Linked DNA regions of Saccharomyces cerevisiae S288C. The gene in region 2 interacts genetically with the main gene of each other region. Each region holds a gene or a part of one and is shown on either strand. Other genes may lie near its edges. The genes, in order: PBS2, SAC1 and PSD1.

Region 1 (7,081 bases), on a different chromosome or scaffold from region 2:
ATTCTTTCATGTATGGTAAAGAGTTCACACATATTACGAAAAGTATAGATTTGTTACGAGATCCTCAAAAGAGTATCGAAATTGGGAAATATGAACGATTAAAGCATTTTCTGGAAACAGGCAAGTATCCTTTACATTGTGATAGAAACGAAAAGGCTAGATTAAGAGTACTTTCCAAAACTCATTCGGTATTGAATGGCAAGTTGATGACAAAAGGAAAAGAAATCATTTATGACACGGATCAACAAATCCAGATTGCATTAGAGATACATTTAATGGAACATTTAGGCATCAACAAGGTGACCTCCAAAATTGGTGAAAAATACCATTGGAGAGGAATCAAGAGTACTGTTTCGGAGGTAATCTCTCGGTGCCAAAAATGCAAGATGAGGTACAAAGACGGGACAGGGGTAATAATTGAACAAAAGAGAGCAGTTAAGCAGGCGCATATGCTACCGACGCAGCATATAGAAACTATCAACAATCCAAGAAAAAGCAAGAAGCATGATAATGCGTTATTGGGACAGGCAATAAATTTCCCTCAAAATATTATTTCCAGTACGCTGAATGATGTGGAGGGTGAACCCACTCCGCCAGACACTAATATCGTACAACCCACATTCCAGAACGCCACGAATAGTCCCGCAACAACAGCTGAAGCCAACGAAGCGAATAAAAGATCCGAGTTTCTTTCCTCAATACAGAGCACGCCACTATTGGACGACGAACAGTCAATGAATTCCTTCAATAGATTCGTGGAGGAAGAAAACTCAAGAAAAAGACGAAAATACTTGGATGTTGCCTCCAACGGAATTGTACCCCATTTAACGAATAACGAATCGCAGGATCACGCGAACCCCGTCAACCGTGATGAACGAGATATGAACCATTCAGTTCCCGATTTAGATAGAAATGACCATACTATAATGAACGATGCTATGTTGAGCCTCGAAGATAACGTCATGGCCGCTCTAGAAATGGTCCAAAAGGAACAACAACAGAAGATAAATCATCGAGGTGAAGATGTGACTGGCCAACAAATCGATTTGAACAACAGTGAAGGTAATGAGAATTCAGTCACTAAGATTGTTAACAACGAATCTAATACATTTACAGAGCACAATTCTAATATTTATTATTAAATTGCGACTCTGCCAGAGACGGTCACATCACCAACCCTAGAAACTATAAAGTTTGTACAGAAAAAAGGTACATTTAATGATGCGTCCACTTTTGGAACAGGGTTGACAAGTCTTAAATCTTATTTCAGAAGTGATTTTTGAAGTAAAATTGGAAACTGAAATTGGAAACAAGGCACTCAACTCAATTATGCTTGCATGACGAAAGGTTCTGTTACAGTTTTACGTTGAAACCTAGGTACTGCAGAAATCCATAATCGGAGATAAATAACTAAGCTTTGTGCTGCAAAATTTTCCAGATTAGGAAACCTGATCCTCAGTGCCCTTTTAAGTACTGCTGTATCTGATGCCGTGAACGAGACACTATTGGCTGCGTGGGCACGTACCAAGTATACTCATCAAAATTTGTCTTAGGTTTTCCGATGCGGAAAATGGCAGCGCACAATTTAAATAGAAAAGGAGTTAAATGTACAGCAGCAAAATCAGTCACTCACGGAGAAAAGCTACGGTAGCGTAACGAAGAGCACATTGCTACTAGCAGCCAGCTAGATAATTGCAGCAGTGTACAGTTTACGCGACAATAAAGAAAGCATGATTTTCTTTTTCAACCAGATCCGTTCAATATTTACAGCTTTGCATACGCCAACTCAACAGATCCAATTATCAAGAAGGGCCTTTTTCCAATTCTTAGGCTATTTGGGTAGTTGTGTTGTGATTTCATTAGCAGCTCAATCGAAATACGTGCAGTAAGAAATGAAATAATGACCTGCAACAGTCCTTCTTGAGATGGAATGAAGTAATTGCTCTTTGAACGAGAGCACAAAAGCAAGCAGAAGTCGCGTATGTCAAGCCCATGATATAGCTGCTTAGATATATAGGTAGATATAAATAAGCACAATGGCTACAGTAATTGTGCGGTGCAGGGAGGCAATGTTTAGTGCATCTCCTCTACATCATTTCTATTTTTAATCTCGTCCACGAGAACGATTTAAGGAAATGGGGCTTCAAAAATAAAAAAATCAAATGAAAGTAATAATCTTTCAGCTTAGACTTATTTTTAGTTGAAACACTTGAATAAGAGTGCAGACACTCAATCGTGGTGTAGCTACAAGAACATATGGTGGCGTGTTTCTGCTGCAACTGTCAAGATCGTCTGTGTCTTAATGAGGTGATATATAGAACTGCTGAATACGGAGCCGTTTGTCTTTTACTGCGGGATTAACTTCAACAGCTACGGCCGAAGCCAATTCTGGCAAAAGGCAATGACTAAGTCTTGTTTCTCATGTAGATTACTATTTTGAGCGTGTTGCTTTTCTGTTCCCCTTGAGCATAGCAGCAGGCACGGAAGCATACAGAATATTCACTAACATGAGAACAACTCATTACTAGACTACTACCAGTTACTACACATCGATACAACTCCCCAGAAATATCACTGTTGAGAGTTCATGTCAAGACGTAGTATAGTATTGCAACAGGAAAAAAAAATCTTATTGCGTAGCACTCTGTATCTATTTTATATATCTGTTTCTATATTTGATTAATCTCTTGTTATCTTGGTGATGATCGCACAAGTATGTACTCCTGTATCTGCAAGAATATCTGTTTTAAACTTTTCAAAGCAAGGAAACCCCGTCTTATATAGGTTATCCGCAAAGGTCACATTTTCTTGCAAATAGAAGAAAAAGCACCCACAAGCACACTAACACAGTGCCAGAGCAAAACTATATCCTTTGCATCCGATCTCAAACGCTGTTCTTATCGCATCTGTCTTCGTCCTTTCATCTGCATTTACCTTTTCTTTTTCATCCTCTATTTGCCTTTTCATTAGTGGCAATTTTTCCAGTTTTTTCCCTCTGCGTCCCGTTGCACCTGAAAGGATCTTTCTAACGTGTGTTGTCTACTAGTGAGCGATTTCGTGAGCCATACACGTTCTATAGAAAATTGAATAAACTTTACTTCAAAGGGATCTGGACACAGAGATAACTGCTTACCTGCTTGCCGGAAGAAAAGAATTACTAAAAAAGAAGACAAGGGTAGCTGCTATTGTGGGTACACGTTTCACAGAACTACTTTTTCCTTGTCCTTCTCCAGACATCAACGTCATACAACTAAAACTGATAAAGTACCCGTTTTTCCGTACATTTCTATAGATACATTATTATATTAAGCAGATCGAGACGTTAATTTCTCAAAGATGGAAGACAAGTTTGCTAACCTCAGTCTCCATGAGAAAACTGGTAAGTCATCTATCCAATTAAACGAGCAAACAGGCTCAGATAATGGCTCTGCTGTCAAGAGAACATCTTCGACGTCCTCGCACTACAATAACATCAACGCTGACCTTCATGCTCGTGTAAAAGCTTTTCAAGAACAACGTGCATTGAAAAGGTCTGCCAGCGTGGGCAGTAATCAAAGCGAGCAAGACAAAGGCAGTTCACAATCACCTAAACATATTCAGCAGATTGTTAATAAGCCATTGCCGCCTCTTCCCGTAGCAGGAAGTTCTAAGGTTTCACAAAGAATGAGTAGCCAAGTCGTGCAAGCGTCCTCCAAGAGCACTCTTAAGAACGTTCTGGACAATCAAGAAACACAAAACATTACCGACGTAAATATTAACATCGATACAACCAAAATTACCGCCACAACAATTGGTGTAAATACTGGCCTACCTGCTACTGACATTACGCCGTCAGTTTCTAATACTGCATCAGCAACACATAAGGCGCAATTGCTGAATCCTAACAGAAGGGCACCAAGAAGGCCGCTTTCTACCCAGCACCCTACAAGACCAAATGTTGCCCCGCATAAGGCCCCTGCTATAATCAACACACCAAAACAAAGTTTAAGTGCCCGTCGAGGGCTCAAATTACCACCAGGAGGAATGTCATTAAAAATGCCCACTAAAACAGCTCAACAGCCGCAGCAGTTTGCCCCAAGCCCTTCAAACAAAAAACATATAGAAACCTTATCAAACAGCAAAGTTGTTGAAGGGAAAAGATCGAATCCGGGTTCTTTGATAAATGGTGTGCAAAGCACATCCACCTCATCAAGTACCGAAGGCCCACATGACACTGTAGGCACTACACCCAGAACTGGAAACAGCAACAACTCTTCAAATTCTGGTAGTAGTGGTGGTGGTGGTCTTTTCGCAAATTTCTCGAAATACGTGGATATCAAATCCGGCTCTTTGAATTTTGCAGGCAAACTATCGCTATCCTCTAAAGGAATAGATTTCAGCAATGGTTCTAGTTCGAGAATTACATTGGACGAACTAGAATTTTTGGATGAACTGGGTCATGGTAACTATGGTAACGTCTCAAAGGTACTGCATAAGCCCACAAATGTTATTATGGCGACGAAGGAAGTCCGTTTGGAGCTAGATGAGGCTAAATTTAGACAAATTTTAATGGAACTAGAAGTTTTGCATAAATGCAATTCTCCCTATATTGTGGATTTTTATGGTGCATTCTTTATTGAGGGCGCCGTCTACATGTGTATGGAATACATGGATGGTGGTTCCTTGGATAAAATATACGACGAATCATCTGAAATCGGCGGCATTGATGAACCTCAGCTAGCGTTTATTGCCAATGCTGTCATTCATGGACTAAAAGAACTCAAAGAGCAGCATAATATCATACACAGAGATGTCAAACCAACAAATATTTTATGTTCAGCCAACCAAGGCACCGTAAAGCTGTGCGATTTCGGTGTTTCTGGTAATTTGGTGGCATCTTTAGCGAAGACTAATATTGGTTGTCAGTCATACATGGCACCTGAACGAATCAAATCGTTGAATCCAGATAGAGCCACCTATACCGTACAGTCAGACATCTGGTCTTTAGGTTTAAGCATTCTGGAAATGGCACTAGGTAGATATCCGTATCCACCAGAAACATACGACAACATTTTCTCTCAATTGAGCGCTATTGTTGATGGGCCGCCACCGAGATTACCTTCAGATAAATTCAGTTCTGACGCACAAGATTTTGTTTCTTTATGTCTACAAAAGATTCCGGAAAGAAGACCTACATACGCAGCTTTAACAGAGCATCCTTGGTTAGTAAAATACAGAAACCAGGATGTCCACATGAGTGAGTATATCACTGAACGATTAGAAAGGCGCAACAAAATCTTACGGGAACGTGGTGAGAATGGTTTATCTAAAAATGTACCGGCATTACATATGGGTGGTTTATAGCGTTAATATCCAAATAAAAGCAAACAGGCACGTGAATATAACAACAAAAAAAAAGCAGACGAAAAGCTACTGTGGAAATGATGCGGCGAATACAAAAAAACCTTACATATACATATGTTTATTGTAATAAACTTGCATTATACTCGTTATAGACATATATATATATATATATTCATATATATATATCGTCTGACTTCCTTTTGTCGAACCTAAAAAAGGGCACGAATTATGACAGAGTATTGAGGGGATGTTATTTCAAGCACCGGCAAGTGAAGCGATGTGGACGTCAATATATTGTGTTATTCGATTATTGCTACGGCCATCGACTCCTCGAAATTATTTACGTTCGGGGCTGACAACGCAAGAAAGAAAAAATGCTCTGGAATTGTCTGATGGTTTTTCCGCTCTTTACGGCTCAAGGCTAGGAAAGAAAAAAAAGTCCAAAATCATCGAGAAAATAAAAGGTGTTTTGAAAGTTCAAATCCACGTTATTGAGAGTAGATGTGGAGTCTGGACCAGGAACTATACCTGTATCTTACCCTAACTTCTAAATTTTGCTACTTTCACGGAAAACAGTAAATAATTACCTATCAAGATAAAGAGCTCTTACATTATTAGAAACTTTTTGTTACTGTTGCTTTCCTTTCGCCCATTGTTTTTACCTTACCATTAGCATCACTGATTCCACACTTGTATTGCCTTAAAAAGAAGGAGGGTATTCTATTGGCTCTCAAGGAAGTCATTCCTATCCATTTTACTTAAAGTTATTACCTTTTTTTGATAACTAACAATGCATTTTAGAAGAACGATGAGTAGAGTGCCCACATTGGCATCTCTTGAAATACGATATAAAAAATCTTTCGGCCATAAATTTCGTGATTTTATTGCTCTATGTGGTCACTATTTTGCTCCAGTTAAAAAATATATCTTCCCCAGTTTTATCGCGGTTCACTACTTCTACACGATATCCCTGACATTAATAACTTCAATCCTGCTATATCCCATTAAGAATACCAGATACATTGATACATTGTTTTTAGCAGCGGGCGCAGTTACACAAGGTGGCTTAAATACTGTGGATATCAACAATCTAAGCTTATACCAACAAATTGTTCTGTATATCGTATGCTGCATATCAACACCAATTGCAGTTCATAGTTGCTTGGCATTTGTACGGCTTTACTGGTTTGAGCGCTACTTCGATGGTATTAGAGACTCTTCTAGACGAAATTTTAAGATGAGAAGAACGAAAACAATCTTAGAAAGGGAACTAACAGCAAGAACCATGACCAAGAATAGAACAGGTACCCAAAGAACGTCTTATCCTAGGAAACAAGCTAAAACAGATGATTTCCAAGAAAAATTGTTCAGCGGAGAAATGGTTAATAGAGATGAGCAGGACTCAGTTCACAGCGACCAGAATTCTCATGACATTAGTAGGGACAGCAGCAATAATAATACGAATCACAATGGTAGCAGTGGCAGTTTAGATGATTTCGTTAAGGAAGACGAAACGGATGACAATGGAGAATATCAGGAGAACAACTCCTACTCGACGGTAGGTAGTTCGTCTAACACAGTTGCAGACGAAAGTTTAAATCAGAAGCCCAAGCCAAGCAGTCTTCGGTTTGATGAGCCACACAGCAAACAAAGACCCGCAAGAGTTCCCTCAGAGAAATTTGCAAAAAGAAGGGGTTCAAGAGATATTAGCCCAGCCGATATGTATCGATCCATTATG
Region 2 (7,081 bases):
TTCCTACTATCTCTTCTGGACCTCACCGTGCTATTCATATCACTGACGACGGAAAATGCCTCTTGTAGTAATCATTGAATGATCATCAATGGCTCGTTGACTCATTCTAATCTATAGCAGATATTAAGGTACGCAAAAAGTTCGACAAGGAGCTGGTCAGTATTAACACATTACCAAATCTGTTTGGTTCTACATAGAACGCCATAAAAGTAAGAAAAAAATGTCTGTGCACGCTGCAACAAACCCAATCAATAAGCATGTGGTTCTAATTGACAACTACGATTCCTTTACCTGGAACGTTTACGAGTACTTGTGCCAGGAGGGCGCCAAAGTGAGCGTCTACCGTAACGATGCAATTACAGTTCCAGAAATTGCCGCCTTGAATCCCGACACATTGCTTATCTCGCCTGGACCAGGCCACCCAAAGACAGATTCTGGCATTTCAAGAGACTGTATCCGGTACTTTACTGGGAAAATTCCTGTATTTGGAATCTGTATGGGCCAGCAATGCATGTTTGACGTATTTGGTGGTGAAGTTGCCTACGCTGGTGAGATTGTCCACGGTAAAACGTCCCCAATCTCTCACGACAACTGTGGAATTTTCAAGAACGTGCCGCAAGGTATTGCTGTGACAAGATACCATTCATTGGCCGGGACAGAATCGTCCCTACCATCCTGCTTGAAGGTTACTGCGAGTACCGAAAATGGAATTATCATGGGTGTAAGACACAAGAAGTACACTGTAGAAGGTGTGCAATTTCATCCGGAATCCATCTTGACCGAGGAAGGTCATCTGATGATCAGGAACATTTTAAACGTCAGTGGAGGCACTTGGGAGGAAAACAAATCATCTCCTTCAAATTCTATTTTGGACCGTATCTATGCTCGGCGTAAAATAGACGTCAATGAGCAGTCTAAAATCCCAGGTTTCACCTTTCAAGACTTACAATCTAACTATGATTTAGGTCTTGCCCCACCGTTACAGGATTTCTACACGGTGTTGTCATCATCCCATAAAAGAGCCGTTGTTCTTGCTGAAGTCAAGCGTGCCTCTCCATCGAAGGGACCCATTTGTTTAAAAGCTGTTGCTGCTGAACAGGCTCTCAAATACGCAGAGGCTGGTGCATCCGCAATTTCCGTATTGACCGAACCTCATTGGTTTCACGGTTCGTTACAGGATTTAGTAAATGTGAGGAAAATCCTAGATTTGAAATTTCCTCCCAAGGAGAGGCCTTGTGTTTTGAGAAAAGAATTTATTTTCAGCAAGTATCAAATACTAGAAGCAAGATTAGCTGGAGCTGACACTGTCCTTCTTATAGTCAAGATGCTATCTCAACCCTTATTGAAGGAACTGTACAGCTACAGTAAAGATTTGAACATGGAACCTCTCGTTGAGGTGAACTCCAAAGAGGAATTACAAAGGGCTCTAGAAATTGGTGCTAAAGTTGTAGGTGTCAATAATAGGGACCTGCATTCATTCAACGTAGACCTAAATACCACCAGTAACTTGGTAGAATCTATTCCAAAGGATGTTCTTCTAATTGCTCTATCGGGAATTACCACCAGGGACGATGCTGAAAAATACAAAAAAGAAGGTGTCCATGGATTTTTAGTGGGTGAAGCCCTAATGAAATCAACCGATGTGAAGAAGTTCATTCATGAATTATGCGAATAATTGAAACTTACACGGTACAATAGGGAAAAAAACTTAACGTTGTAAGGGCGAACGCCTTCATGTATAGTAGCCTATAGAAGATATATATATATATATATATATATATATATGACCATGAAAGATAAAGTAAAAAAGAAAATAAATAGCTTGTTCTTCCCTCTGGGGCCGGCGTTCATTTTTTTATTTTTTTATTTTTTAACTTACTTTTTTTCTCGTTTTTATCATATTTTCGGTTTTACGTTTTGGATTTACAATAATCATCATTTTATCACATATAGAACTCATTAATCTCTTTTTAAAGGATCCGGCTTGGAAAATTTAGGACTCTGTGCATATTTCAAACCTTTGAATTGTTGTTCTTTATCATGCGTTTGATGAACGACCAAGAACCCAACGTCTACTAACTTAGGCCAGTTGACAAACTGAATACCGTTCTTAAACATGAATTTGGTTGAAAGCGCCAAGACAATCGACGCACCTGCAAAATACAGCAAATTCTTACTGCTGGTAAATCTATCTTTAGGAAAAAATATCGTAGCACCTAAAACGGTCAAGGCTGCGCAAATGATCATTGGGATCAGCTGAATATACACTGGTCTTCTGTCGGGGAATGGCGACTTGATAGAAGCGGTATGTGGTCTAAATCCACCAAGGAATAAATCGTATGAATCCTGTCTTGGACCATCAGTCCAATTGTTCTGGTAATAACGTGATGCTGAATTCAAAAAATCGTTGAATGCACCTAGACGTGTACGCTTACCGGTTCTTGTGAAATCGGTCTTCAAAGCTCCAGTGCCCGAATATGCCACACTAACTGCATCTGCATTATCAGCCCATAAGTTTTGGTAAGAAGTTAACAATGGAGCGTTGTCTTCCCAAGTGCTTCCAGTAGCAACGACATCGGCACTTTCAAACTCCTTTTGCAAAACCCACTGGGCTAAAACAGATTGAACGACATTTGTTCTGTCCAAACAATCCATACAGTTTGTTCTTACAACGGAATGTTGCTCATTAACAATTTCAACGGTGTTACCATTAGAGTCTATGACCTTGTGGAAGAAATCTTCGTTAGATAAACCTAATTTCTCCAGGTGATCAATTAACAATTTCACTCTATGCCATTGCATCTTACGACATTCATGGTGGAAGTCAAAATACACGTAGTGAATCTTCGGATCGTTTAGCGCGTGCACGACTGATTCATAGCCCTCTTTCACGGGTAGTTCGTGGCCCTTTTGGTTGACTAGGTTAACCAAGTAGTTGTCGCCATATAACTCCTTTTGCTGGTCAAAATGCTTTTTTGTCGCATCTAATGAGTTTTCTCCAAGAACAAGATTTGGCTTGTACTTCAAGTTGTTGATTTCAGCCCAGTATATTGGCACAGATCCTCTTGTCTGTAAGAAGGAGAAAACGTGTATTTTTTCACTCTCTGGATTCTCAGCGAGTAAAATTTGCTCAGTTTCATTGAAATTGCCAACGTTACCGTCTTTGTCAACACCACGACGGAAGTATCTTGTGCCCGCCCTAAATATACTACGTCTGGTAATCAAACCAAGAACGATAGGGGTGGCATTCAAAACGGCGTCCACTGTCTTGGCATACCCATAGATAACAGGTTGTATAAAGGAGTCAATTCTAGGATCTTGATGAGCAAAGTTTCTCAAATCTTCAGTTAAGTAATGGTTCCAAAAGAATCGTTCATCAGCGGTTTTCCAGGAGGCTGCAGGACCAACCTTTTCATTTCTTTGTAAGGAATTTGTTAAATCATATGTGTATGAAAAATAAAAGGTGGAATTTTTCAAATGCAACTCCAGTAGCTTGATATATTCGGCTTCTTCAGAATCGATTCTCGAGTTAAACTTGGTAGATACGATAGAATGTTGCAACACTCTATAGAAAACGTGGCCATTGAATCTACCGGTCTCTTCCACAGTATTTGCGATAATGGCATACCTGTTCAACTTTAGCTTAATGAACCCCATCAAGGACGCAATCTTTACTACTTCACCTTGCACAGGAAATTCCTCTGCTCCAAGGACCCGAACACCTTGATCTTGATTGGCCAAGTGAATAACAGCATCGTTAGTTCCTTTGCCCTCAGCAAGCTTGAAGAAGATACCGTCCGCATTTTGAACGTACACTATTGGACCTGTCATATCTAGACGAGAAAATATACGTGTATATAAATATTATCGTTACTGTTATAGGGATATGGTTTCTAATCCTTTCTCCTATTTCCTTATCTAAACCTGTGGTATTTTTCCCTTGCCTTTTCAACTTCAATAAGCTGGAATTAAATTTGTAGTGTGGGTAAGCAGTAGTGCAGCAATGCGTGCGTGTGCAAGCTCTTGAATATTGAAGGTCTACAGGTTACTAAAACAATAGGAGCGAGGCTTGGACGTCGAGAAAGTTGCTGACCTTGGCATTTCCTTTGCGAGTTTTTCAAAATTTTTCACACTCGTTCAGGACCACGAAAAATAAATCATATGAGATTTTAGTACGCTGATAATAAGGGAAGGCCACTGTCTTGGCTTATTTTATATATATATATTCATGTGTGATAGTAAGGTGTAGAGCAGCAGATTTGGAGTATGGGATATCAATTGAGTGCAACACTTAAAGGGCACGATCAGGACGTCAGGGATGTGGTAGCTGTGGATGATTCAAAGGTTGCTAGTGTTTCGAGGGATGGAACAGTTCGCTTGTGGTCTAAAGATGACCAATGGCTCGGTACGGTAGTTTATACAGGACAAGGATTTTTAAATAGTGTGTGTTATGATTCCGAGAAGGAGTTGTTGCTTTTTGGAGGTAAGGATACTATGATCAACGGTGTGCCCTTGTTTGCCACCTCAGGAGAGGATCCCTTGTATACCTTGATTGGCCACCAAGGGAACGTTTGTAGTTTATCCTTCCAAGATGGTGTTGTGATAAGCGGTAGTTGGGACAAAACCGCAAAGGTTTGGAAAGAAGGATCGTTGGTTTACAATTTGCAAGCACACAATGCCTCTGTATGGGATGCCAAAGTCGTATCCTTCTCAGAAAATAAATTCTTGACAGCTTCCGCCGATAAGACGATTAAACTGTGGCAAAACGATAAAGTGATCAAAACTTTCAGTGGGATTCACAATGATGTAGTAAGACATTTAGCTGTGGTGGATGATGGCCATTTTATCAGTTGTTCAAACGATGGCCTCATCAAGTTGGTTGATATGCATACAGGTGACGTACTAAGAACATATGAAGGCCATGAAAGCTTTGTTTATTGCATTAAACTGCTGCCCAATGGAGATATTGTAAGCTGCGGCGAAGACCGAACAGTCCGTATATGGTCAAAGGAAAATGGTTCGTTAAAGCAGGTAATTACACTTCCTGCCATCTCTATTTGGTCCGTTGATTGTATGTCTAATGGTGATATTATTGTGGGAAGTAGTGATAATCTTGTGAGAATATTTTCGCAAGAGAAGTCAAGATGGGCTTCCGAGGATGAAATAAATGAACTATCTACGCAAGTGGAAAAATCCACTATAAGTTCCAAGACAATAGAATTTGATGAGTCTAAACTATCACCTTATGAAATTTTACAATCGCCGGGGCGCAAAGAGGGTCAAATTGTGGTAGTCAAATCACCTCAAGGTACTATAGAAGCTCATCAATTTTCAAATTCTTCATGGAAAAAGGTTGGTGATGTTGTCGGTGCAGGTGCTACTGGAAACGACAAAAAAATAGAATTCGAGGGTAAAACGTATGACTACGTATTTGATGTGGATATTGAAGATGGAAAACCTCCCTTGAAATTGCCGATTAATGTCAGCGACAACCCATATACAGCAGCCGACAATTTTTTGGCTCGTTATGAACTGCCAATGAGTTATAGGGATCAAGTAGTACAGTTCATACTGAAGAACACTAATGGCATATCGCTAGACCAGCCCAACGATAATGCATCATCTTCTGCAGTATCACCTTCAAAAACGAGCGTAATGAAGGTTCTTCCTGTCAAGCAGTATCTTATCATGGAAAATTATAACCCAGATACTATTTTCAATGGAATAGTAAAAATAAATTCAAATGAGAAGACCTTTGATGATGAAATTCTGGCGCAAATTGGTGGCGCACTACATGACATAGATGAAAGCTGGGAGTTGCTACTTTCATTTGCTAACACTATAAGATCTAACTGGGAAATTAAGACTCCTGCATACGACATAGTACGATTGATTGTAAAAAAATTACCTTATTCTTCAGATATAAAAGATTACATCGAAGAAGGCTTGGGCAATAAGAATATCACTCTAACCATGTTAACTGTGCGTATTTTGGTAAATTGCTTCAATAATGAAAACTGGGGTGTGAAATTACTGGAATCAAATCAAGTTTATAAATCAATTTTTGAGACTATAGATACTGAATTTTCTCAGGCATCTGCTAAACAGTCACAGAATTTGGCTATTGCAGTTTCCACACTAATTTTCAACTATTCAGCTCTCGTCACGAAAGGGAACTCTGATTTAGAACTTTTGCCTATCGTAGCTGACGCCATCAACACCAAGTATGGGCCATTGGAAGAGTATCAAGAATGCGAAGAAGCCGCATATAGGCTAACCGTAGCTTACGGAAATTTGGCTACTGTTGAACCTACATTAAGACAATTTGCCAACTCCGTAACTTGGCTTGCAAACATCAAAAGGAGCTATGGGAACGTGCCAAGGTTTAAGGATATTTTCGACGATCTCTCCTAATACTTTTACAGCAATCATATAAAACACATAATGTCTAGATAGCAAATAATCTTTAAAATTCTTTCTGCCCTATTGAAAATTATGACAAACTATCACGGTCATTTTCTGTCTAACTCGGCAAGAAATTATCATCGTGAAATGAAAAAGGTTACATACAATAAGGTTATTTTGAGTACAGACTGATAAATAGATGGAAAAGACTAAAAAACTGAAACGATAAGCGTCTAGTACCTTTTCCATTAGACGATTCAATACTGCATTTTGCAATGGACAAAGCATTTGACGAAATTATTGGAAATAGTCACACAGACAGCTCATCTAATCATAAGGTAACGAGATACCGCAGAAGGGATTTAAGAAATGAATTAGGACCTAGACTGGGATTTGCGCCTTCGGATGCTGCATCAAGGTCGAAAGATCGCCTTTATAGAGAGAGGGAAGAGCCTCCTTTGCCTAAGAGAATTAGAATATCCAAAATCCCACTAGACGTTTCTGACTACACCCTCGATGATATGATTAAAGAGTTTGGCTCGCCAATATTTTCGAAAATTTTTGACAATAAAGAGGATCGTACATGTATTTACGAATTTGAAGACCCAGAAGTTTTGGAAAAGATTGTCGAGCGTTATAATGGACATGAGTTACATAATGCAAAAATTGAAGTGGA
Region 3 (7,081 bases), on a different chromosome or scaffold from region 2:
GTATAATTTTACATACCTCCAAAAGAAGAATTAAATCAAAGTGTGCAGATAATACTATATACAGCAAAATAAATGCTAACTTTACATATGATTGCTTTCATTTTAAATCATTCTTTCCAATTATGCCTAATTTCTGTCCCATCTTAACCTTATCACCAACCCTAACATCGAACTTAAATTCAGTGGGAGCTTCAAAACAAAGTACAACAGTGCTACCCAATTCAAAGCCACCCATTTCTTCACCCTTAACCAAAGGCATCCCTCCCAATATTTTACTTGCATTCTCATATACTGCCTGGTAGCAGGTATGTGGTTCCAAGTGTTTGTCGCTCTTTGAATTTGTCACAAATTCTTGATCAAAATTCAACTTGATTGAACCAACATTTGTTGCACCAACAGGAGTCATGCTAAAAAATCCGTACTTCCAACTACCCAACAAAGCAACTCTTTCATTTAGAACGAAAAGATTAGGGAAGTTACGCTGGAAATAAGGTGCCACGGAGAATAAATCACCTGGGAAATGGCGGCGAACCTTACAAACCCAGTCAACTGGAGAGTGGAAATGATGGTAATCACCGGGAGCCAAATAAATGACGGCAAAGAAAAGTTCCGTATCATGAGGCTCAGAGCACGAAAACCCATTAGAGAAGTAGTTTAAAGAAAGTTGACTTAAAAGATGTATATTTTTGGACACACTTGGTTTGAACTCTCGAACAGATTGATCGCCCTCGTTTTTAAAGTTAAGAAGAGGCTGTTCAGTGTCTTCGGAACCCGCTAATTGTATTCTATTTACCCTGGCGAATTCTCTATGCTTTTCCTCATCAGAAGTCAAATCTAGACTAGATGCACTCTTAGACATCAAGGGGTGGGAGTGAGTGCCAAGGAATTCTTTGATGGAATATGTCATTCCCTTGACTTGTTCGATTTCGCCAGTTTCAGAGTTGATTATACCAACTTGTAAAATCTTTCCATCACTTGGAGAAGCTATAACGTCTTCGCCTTGTGCTACTGGACGTGTGCCTGGTTTTATGTTACGATAGAAAAATTCGGATAAATTTGCATAATGTGTCAAATCAGGATCTTCCATCTCGTCCAAGTTAACTCCAAAAAGGAAAGAATATAACCTGTAACCCCATGGTCTAACCCAAATGGGTAACGTAAGAGAATTTACTTGGCCCCATAATCGAGACATCGCATTCAGCGGTAAAGTAGAATAGCAGAAAAAGAGCCAATTATTGTTAAATATTTTGATTTTTCTTGTCCTTCTCCCTTTTTTGCCCTCTGTAGCATCCTCCTCTGTACTATCATTCCTTGACACTAGTAAAATGGTTCCTAGAACAATGGTGAAACTAGTTAAAACAACCCATTTCATGGAGACCTGTTTTCTTCCGCTATTTGCGGCAGCAGCTTTGGCACGATCCACAATCTCTCCAGAACTGCGTCGTTGCTGAACGAAAAGACGCGTGGAAAACTTTCTATTCCATAGCACCGCAGTTCTATTTCTTAATTGCATTCTTGTAGAAAACTTTACAGCAGGCATCCTCCCCATGAGGAGCGTCCTCCCTTGCGCCAAGGCGTTCTTAACTGGCATAATTGACATGCTGGCTTTGCTTTTCCTTCTTCTTCAAAAAATAACGACCAAGAAGGATTTGAGCGATCTGCTAACAACTGGCTGAAGAGTCCTTAAAGCGCTACGTACCTCTAGGCGTCTCTTTTGTGAGTAAGCTGTTTTATATTATAGGTGAAGAACAAATTTTCCACATGCTTGTGCCTGCTTTAGATGTCCCTTGACCTCGAGATTTGAAAAAACACCAAAAAGGTGCTGGTTACCCTGCATGTGATATGTGATTACATAGCGTAGCGTATACAGAAGCACAATTGGTCGTATATGTGCCAAGCTTGTAGGAAATTAGTAACGCATAACGTGTTATCTGCGACAAGCGTGAATGCGACAGACATTATGTTTCTCTAAATTCATATGGTCCCGGCCGATTTTCACATTCGAAGTTCATGTCGACAATATTGTCATTATTCTGCAATAGCTCACAGTGAACACGGTCACCAGGCTTTAACTCGCCTACACCTGCAGGTGTACCAGTCAAAATGATATCACCCGGTTCCAGAGATATCATGGTAGATATGTGTTGCAGTATTTTATGGAGTGGGTGCAACATGAGGTTAGTACCACCATCTTGTCTCAACTGTCCGTTAACAGAGCACTTGACTCTGAAAATATCCTGTAAGTTTGATTTGTAGGATGAGAACTTCTCGCGGGAGACTATAGCAGAGATTGGCATGAAGGTGTCAAAACCCTTGCTTATAGTCCAAGGTAGCCCCTTCTTTTTGGCTTCATCTTGGACATTTCTTGCTGTAAGATCCAATGCTAGAGCTACACCACTAATAGAGTCATAGACTTCTTCGGGTTTCATCTTAGTGACATTGGACAAATGTTTGCTCACAATCAATGCCAACTCAATTTCGTGATGAACCTTCACACCGCGTGGGATAAAAATGGGCCCGGGGTTAGTTCCGTCTTCATTTAAACCATTGAAAGTCGAGTTTGCAGGTCTAGTGGTCTTGACCAATGATGAAGACAATGGTGTCACAATACTCGAGGTTGGTTTTAGGAAAAAAAACGGTTGTTTTGGAGTTGAATTGTTCAGCTCTTTGATATGCGCTGCGTAATTACGCCCAATGCATATAATTTTTCTAGCTGCCTTCAAATAATTGTAGCTCATAACGTTTTGGCAATTTCCTGAGTCTTTACTCGATAGCTTTCAGAATATTTCTATATAGGAAGTTCTGGCTGAAACGTTTTTCCTTATCAGTTAGAGAACGGTGACCATCTCTTGAAAGCGAACAAAAAAACGTGAGGCTAAGGAAGCTATTTAGGAAAATAGACGAAAAAGGAATGGCAAAAGAAGGAATGGCCCTTTCAAAATAGGTATAAGCAGCACAGCTTGATACATGCTAGGGTTGCAGCAGTATAACTGTACTCTCTTTATGAGCGTAGTGAAAAGACGGTGAAATTATAACGGTATGCTCTATGAAGAATAAATGCTGTAGGAAAATTTACGATAATAAAGCCTTTATTGTTGTTGATCAACAAAAGGAGGCTTAAGCAATTGATAAACTTCTGAAAAGAAGAACCCTATTAAAGTTTATATCAAATATAGAAAAAAAAATCTTGAAGTTACATAAATACAGAAAAAAGCGGGAGAATAAAAGGGATTTCCTCTTAAAAGGAACTTTATAGTGGAATATTTGCAATGAGAAAAGCGGACAGGTTGAAGAGTACGAAAGCATCAGATAGAAGACTATTTAAGAACCCCGTCGCTATCTCGTCAATTATTGTGAGGTAGAGTGGATAGTACATCATGCTTATTAGTATCATGGGTATCGGAATTTGCATTTATTACCAATGGATTAGTAACAGAGTAGCATGAATTGATTATATTCTGTGCACTATTTCCCACATTATTAGTAGTTGTGTTACTTTTGCTGATATTTGCTCCAGAGTTCAGTGAGTATTTTTTATCTAGAATTATTGGTCTTGAATTAACGGAAGGATAGCCCGCATTTTCGCTTTTGACAACGTTAGTGTCCTTATTGAAGCTGTCTTCTTGGCCATCCATGTCGTCCCTTGGGTTTTTGCCTCCCCTTCGGTAAAAATTCGTTTCACATATCAATTGCTTCATGTTTGATAATACTGACATTGCACTTGAATAATCACTCCTTGAAATGCTACTCTCTAACAATGCTATTAAAGATGTAGATGGTGGTGATGATGATGACGGAGTTGAAACATTCACATTGAATTGGGAATTCGAGGAGCTTGAGGGTATTATGCCGCATAGCTTCCCAATGACCTGAGTTAGATCGTCATATTCAGATTCATAGAATTGTAGATCATTTTCAATTTTCTTGATGTACTCTTTCTTTCTTTTTCTAAATTTAGATGCAGCTACTCTATTTCTTTCTAAAAACTCCTTTCTTTTTCTTTCTTGCTCTTCATTCTCATCAAGTGTTACGTTGTTTGAAATTTTATTATTTTCAACATCATCTTTTTGTGCTGGTGCAGTCGTAACTGCTGAGTTTTTTCTTGATATGGAATTTTTTCTTGAAGCCTTAGAAGTAGAACTTGTGCTAGACATCCTTCTCTTTCTTTTTCGTGTTTTGTTATTGAACTGGTCATTGTTCTCAATTTGAGTCGTTAAATTTTCATTCTCCTTGTGATTATGAGCGGAGTGCTCGATGGCATTGAACTCTGCCGGATTATCCATTTTGACAGCCGCTTTCGTTGAAGTATTTGGGGAAAAATTGGAATTACTGATGCTGTTGTTGACGGTACCATCTGTGGTATTTGTTGTAGGTGTTGATTTGAATACTGGATTAGCCAAAACTCCAGTAGATGGTAAGTTTAGCAGAGAACTCAATCCCGGCGTAAGTGGTGTACCATTTACAGTTGGGTGCATTATATTAACATGAGGGTGGTTTTCAATACTTCCATTCACTGTGACACTTTTGTTGACATTTTTGCTACCTGTTATAGTATTTTTATTAATTGACGGCAATACGGGATAATTGTAAGATTGCGTAAGAATACCGGGTGTCAACCCGGTCCTGATATTGGACTCATTAGGTGTCAACCCAGATTTGGACAAGTTTAATAAAAAGCCAGGCATTTGTGAATCATTCGTGGGGAAGCCGTTACCAGAATTACTTGTGGTCACGTTCGAGTTTCGTGGCTGGCGTATAAGTGAAGTCCCTGAAGGAGAAGAGCTGTTTGGATACAGAGATCCGGAGGTAGAAGAAACGCCTATTGCACTAGGGTTTGAATTAGAGACTGAAACAGAATGTGAATTCTGACTGGGATTCGTAGTTGAATTTGCCTGATATAAAATAGAGGGAGAAAGGAGTAGAGGTGGTAATCTTTTCGACCCACCAGGTGTGAGAATAGGCGGAGATATTATAGTAGGTCTTTGTTGGCCTGGTAAAAAACTAGGTGAGTCTTTTTTTACGTCATTATGATTACTATTATCTGTAACGGTTGAATTCCCATTTTCTTCTGGAATACTGTTCAAACTATGAGTGGAACGTTGGGAATGTTGTGTTATCGTTGAGGTAGAATTGTTTCGTGAAAGCTCTTTTGGTAGAGACGGATGGGAGATCGTGCCTGGAAGTGACAAAGCCTTCTTGGAAGAGGCGAAGCTTTGTTCAAAAGGATTGGGTTCTAAATCGAAAGTTGAAACAGTACTTGGTTGTCTCGAGCGTTCCTCGCTTGACATAATGATTAAGCAGGGTCTAGAGACTGGGCAGGTGTATTTGGAATGCAGAAATTGAAATGAAAAGAATGAAATAAAAATAAAAATCCACGAATTGATTAAGGAACTTATCAAATAATAGAGATCGGTAAAAAGATAGGAATCTAATAAGTGGAAAACTCACTTGAATAATAAAAGAGTTTTTCTCGATAAGAAAACACAATTCACTTTTACGTTGAACCCCTTTGGTAGTAACTTTTCTGAGCTTAAAACCACTCCTGAGCGTTGGCAATGTAGCACCAAATTATTGTGTTTCTGGAGAACAAATTAGTCTCACGTATCAGTAACCAAACTTGGTCCTTTTAACTGGAAAAATGTGCAGTTTGTTTCGAAAACCATCACCGTATGACTGAATTCATTCTATTCAGCCCAGTTAATTTTCGTGATTTTTCCCTTCGATTCTACTTTTTTCCCTCTGCGACAAAGTTAGCAGGGTTATCGCTAGCGCGGTTAAGTACGACTTGGTTTATGAAAGTTCTTAGAGAAAAGAAGACACAACGCCATTGAAATTGAATTCTGGGTACTGTTATTGTTCCGTTTCATGTTATTACAATATAATTGACTATCTGAACATTTTGTCTTCATTTTTTTTTTTTTTTATTATCGTTTTGTTTACGTTTAGGCGAAATACTCACCTCTTTACTATTAAAATAATAGAATTTATCAGAAAAAAAGTCAGCAACATCAAAAATAACAGATGGATGGCTCTAGGATAAAGGATTCTTATTCTCTTACGATTGTCTATGTTCTTTTGGTATTTATTTTAACTTTATATATCTGTCTTAATTTATAAATATTTATAACAACCCTTGGCGTAATGTAATCATTTAGTTCCAATCCAAAATTGGCCATTTTCGCCACGATCAATTTGCTTTCTCAGATGTCTACTTAATAACACTCCGACCTCATATTTCTCCTTCGTTTTCTTGTCAAGATATTCTTGAAGCTTCACTACGGCTCTATGTAGTCTCTTTCCGTCTTCCATAGATAAAGAACCCTGTGCATTCATCTTGTTTAGATAGTCAATTTCCTTTTGTAACTTAATGCATTTCATGGATAAATAATCATGTCTTTTTTCCAGCTTGGCAATACTGCCCAGCTCAGACGCTGATGTGATAGGAGAGGAGACTGGCGAATCATACTTATTTAGTGAAGATTTACGACTTCCGTTTCTTGAATTGGAATTGCTGCTCACCGAGATAACTCTGAACGGATTTGTAGGGCGTCGTGTCTCGAAATTCGCCATTTTTTTCTGTCCATCACCATCTGAATTAAAGTGATTTATATTGGTACCATCTTCTTTAGAATTCTTTTTAGGGATAAAAATTTTAGTTTGAGAATCTAAGGGAGTGCTTCCTCCAGAGCGATTGGGACAATTCTCTGAATTATCGTCATGGGGTGTTTGATCAGCTAAACGGCTGCTCTCATGGTTGTATTCATTGTCACCTCCTACAACTATGGTTTGCGGTTGTATATCTAGATCCTTATTAGCGGAAGAAAATTTGTCTAATACAAGTTCAGCGTCTAACTTGTTCTCACCGCCCAAGGTGTTATTCTGGGGCATGGGTGATTTGAAAGATTCAATCTCACTGTTTTCCTCTGTTCCCTTATCTACTCGCCCCTCTTCAACATCCGATTTTTCATCCTCCCATTCATCATCATTATTTTCGATAATTTCAACATCAGCTTCACCCCTGTTTTGATCTATATTGACTGTACCATCTTCTTTGTTCTCAGTGCAGGAGTCCTTTGCCTTT

What was found.
Region 1: mutations in SAC1 (region 2) and PBS2 together harm fitness more than expected from each alone (negative genetic interaction), as found in Saccharomyces cerevisiae (5 studies listed by BioGRID).
Region 3: mutations in SAC1 (region 2) and PSD1 impair growth when combined (synthetic growth defect), as found in Saccharomyces cerevisiae (5 studies listed by BioGRID, with this or other methods).

What each region holds. Positions count from the first base shown.
Region 1 is NC_001142.9:176,359-183,439, reverse strand, and holds PBS2 (mitogen-activated protein kinase kinase PBS2), read left to right. Parts: upstream 1-3,336; coding exon 3,337-5,343; downstream 5,344-7,081. Other genes in the region: SPT10 (Spt10p), read left to right, coding at 1-1,142; MCO6 (Mco6p), read left to right, coding at 1,731-1,889; TRK1 (Trk1p), read left to right, coding at 6,134-7,081. UniProt on the Saccharomyces cerevisiae protein: Kinase involved in a signal transduction pathway that is activated by changes in the osmolarity of the extracellular environment. Activates the MAP kinase HOG1 by concomitant phosphorylation at 'Thr-174' and 'Tyr-176'.
Region 2 is NC_001143.9:31,293-38,373, reverse strand, and holds SAC1 (phosphatidylinositol-3-phosphatase SAC1), read right to left. Parts: upstream 3,832-7,081; coding exon 1,960-3,831; downstream 1-1,959. Other genes in the region: TRP3 (bifunctional anthranilate synthase/indole-3-glycerol-phosphate synthase), read left to right, coding at 221-1,675; DOA1 (Doa1p), read left to right, coding at 4,267-6,414; YRA2 (Yra2p), read left to right, coding at 6,681-7,081. UniProt on the Saccharomyces cerevisiae protein: Phosphoinositide phosphatase which catalyzes the hydrolysis of phosphatidylinositol 3-phosphate (PtdIns(3)P) and phosphatidylinositol 4-phosphate (PtdIns(4)P). Has low activity towards phosphatidylinositol-3,5-bisphosphate (PtdIns(3,5)P2).
Region 3 is NC_001146.8:316,072-323,152, forward strand, and holds PSD1 (phosphatidylserine decarboxylase 1), read right to left. Parts: upstream 1,601-7,081; coding exon 98-1,600; downstream 1-97. Other genes in the region: FMP41 (Fmp41p), read right to left, coding at 1,959-2,738; SKO1 (Sko1p), read right to left, coding at 3,345-5,288; BNI5 (Bni5p), read right to left, coding at 6,148-7,081. UniProt on the Saccharomyces cerevisiae protein: Catalyzes the formation of phosphatidylethanolamine (PtdEtn) from phosphatidylserine (PtdSer). Plays a central role in phospholipid metabolism and in the interorganelle trafficking of phosphatidylserine.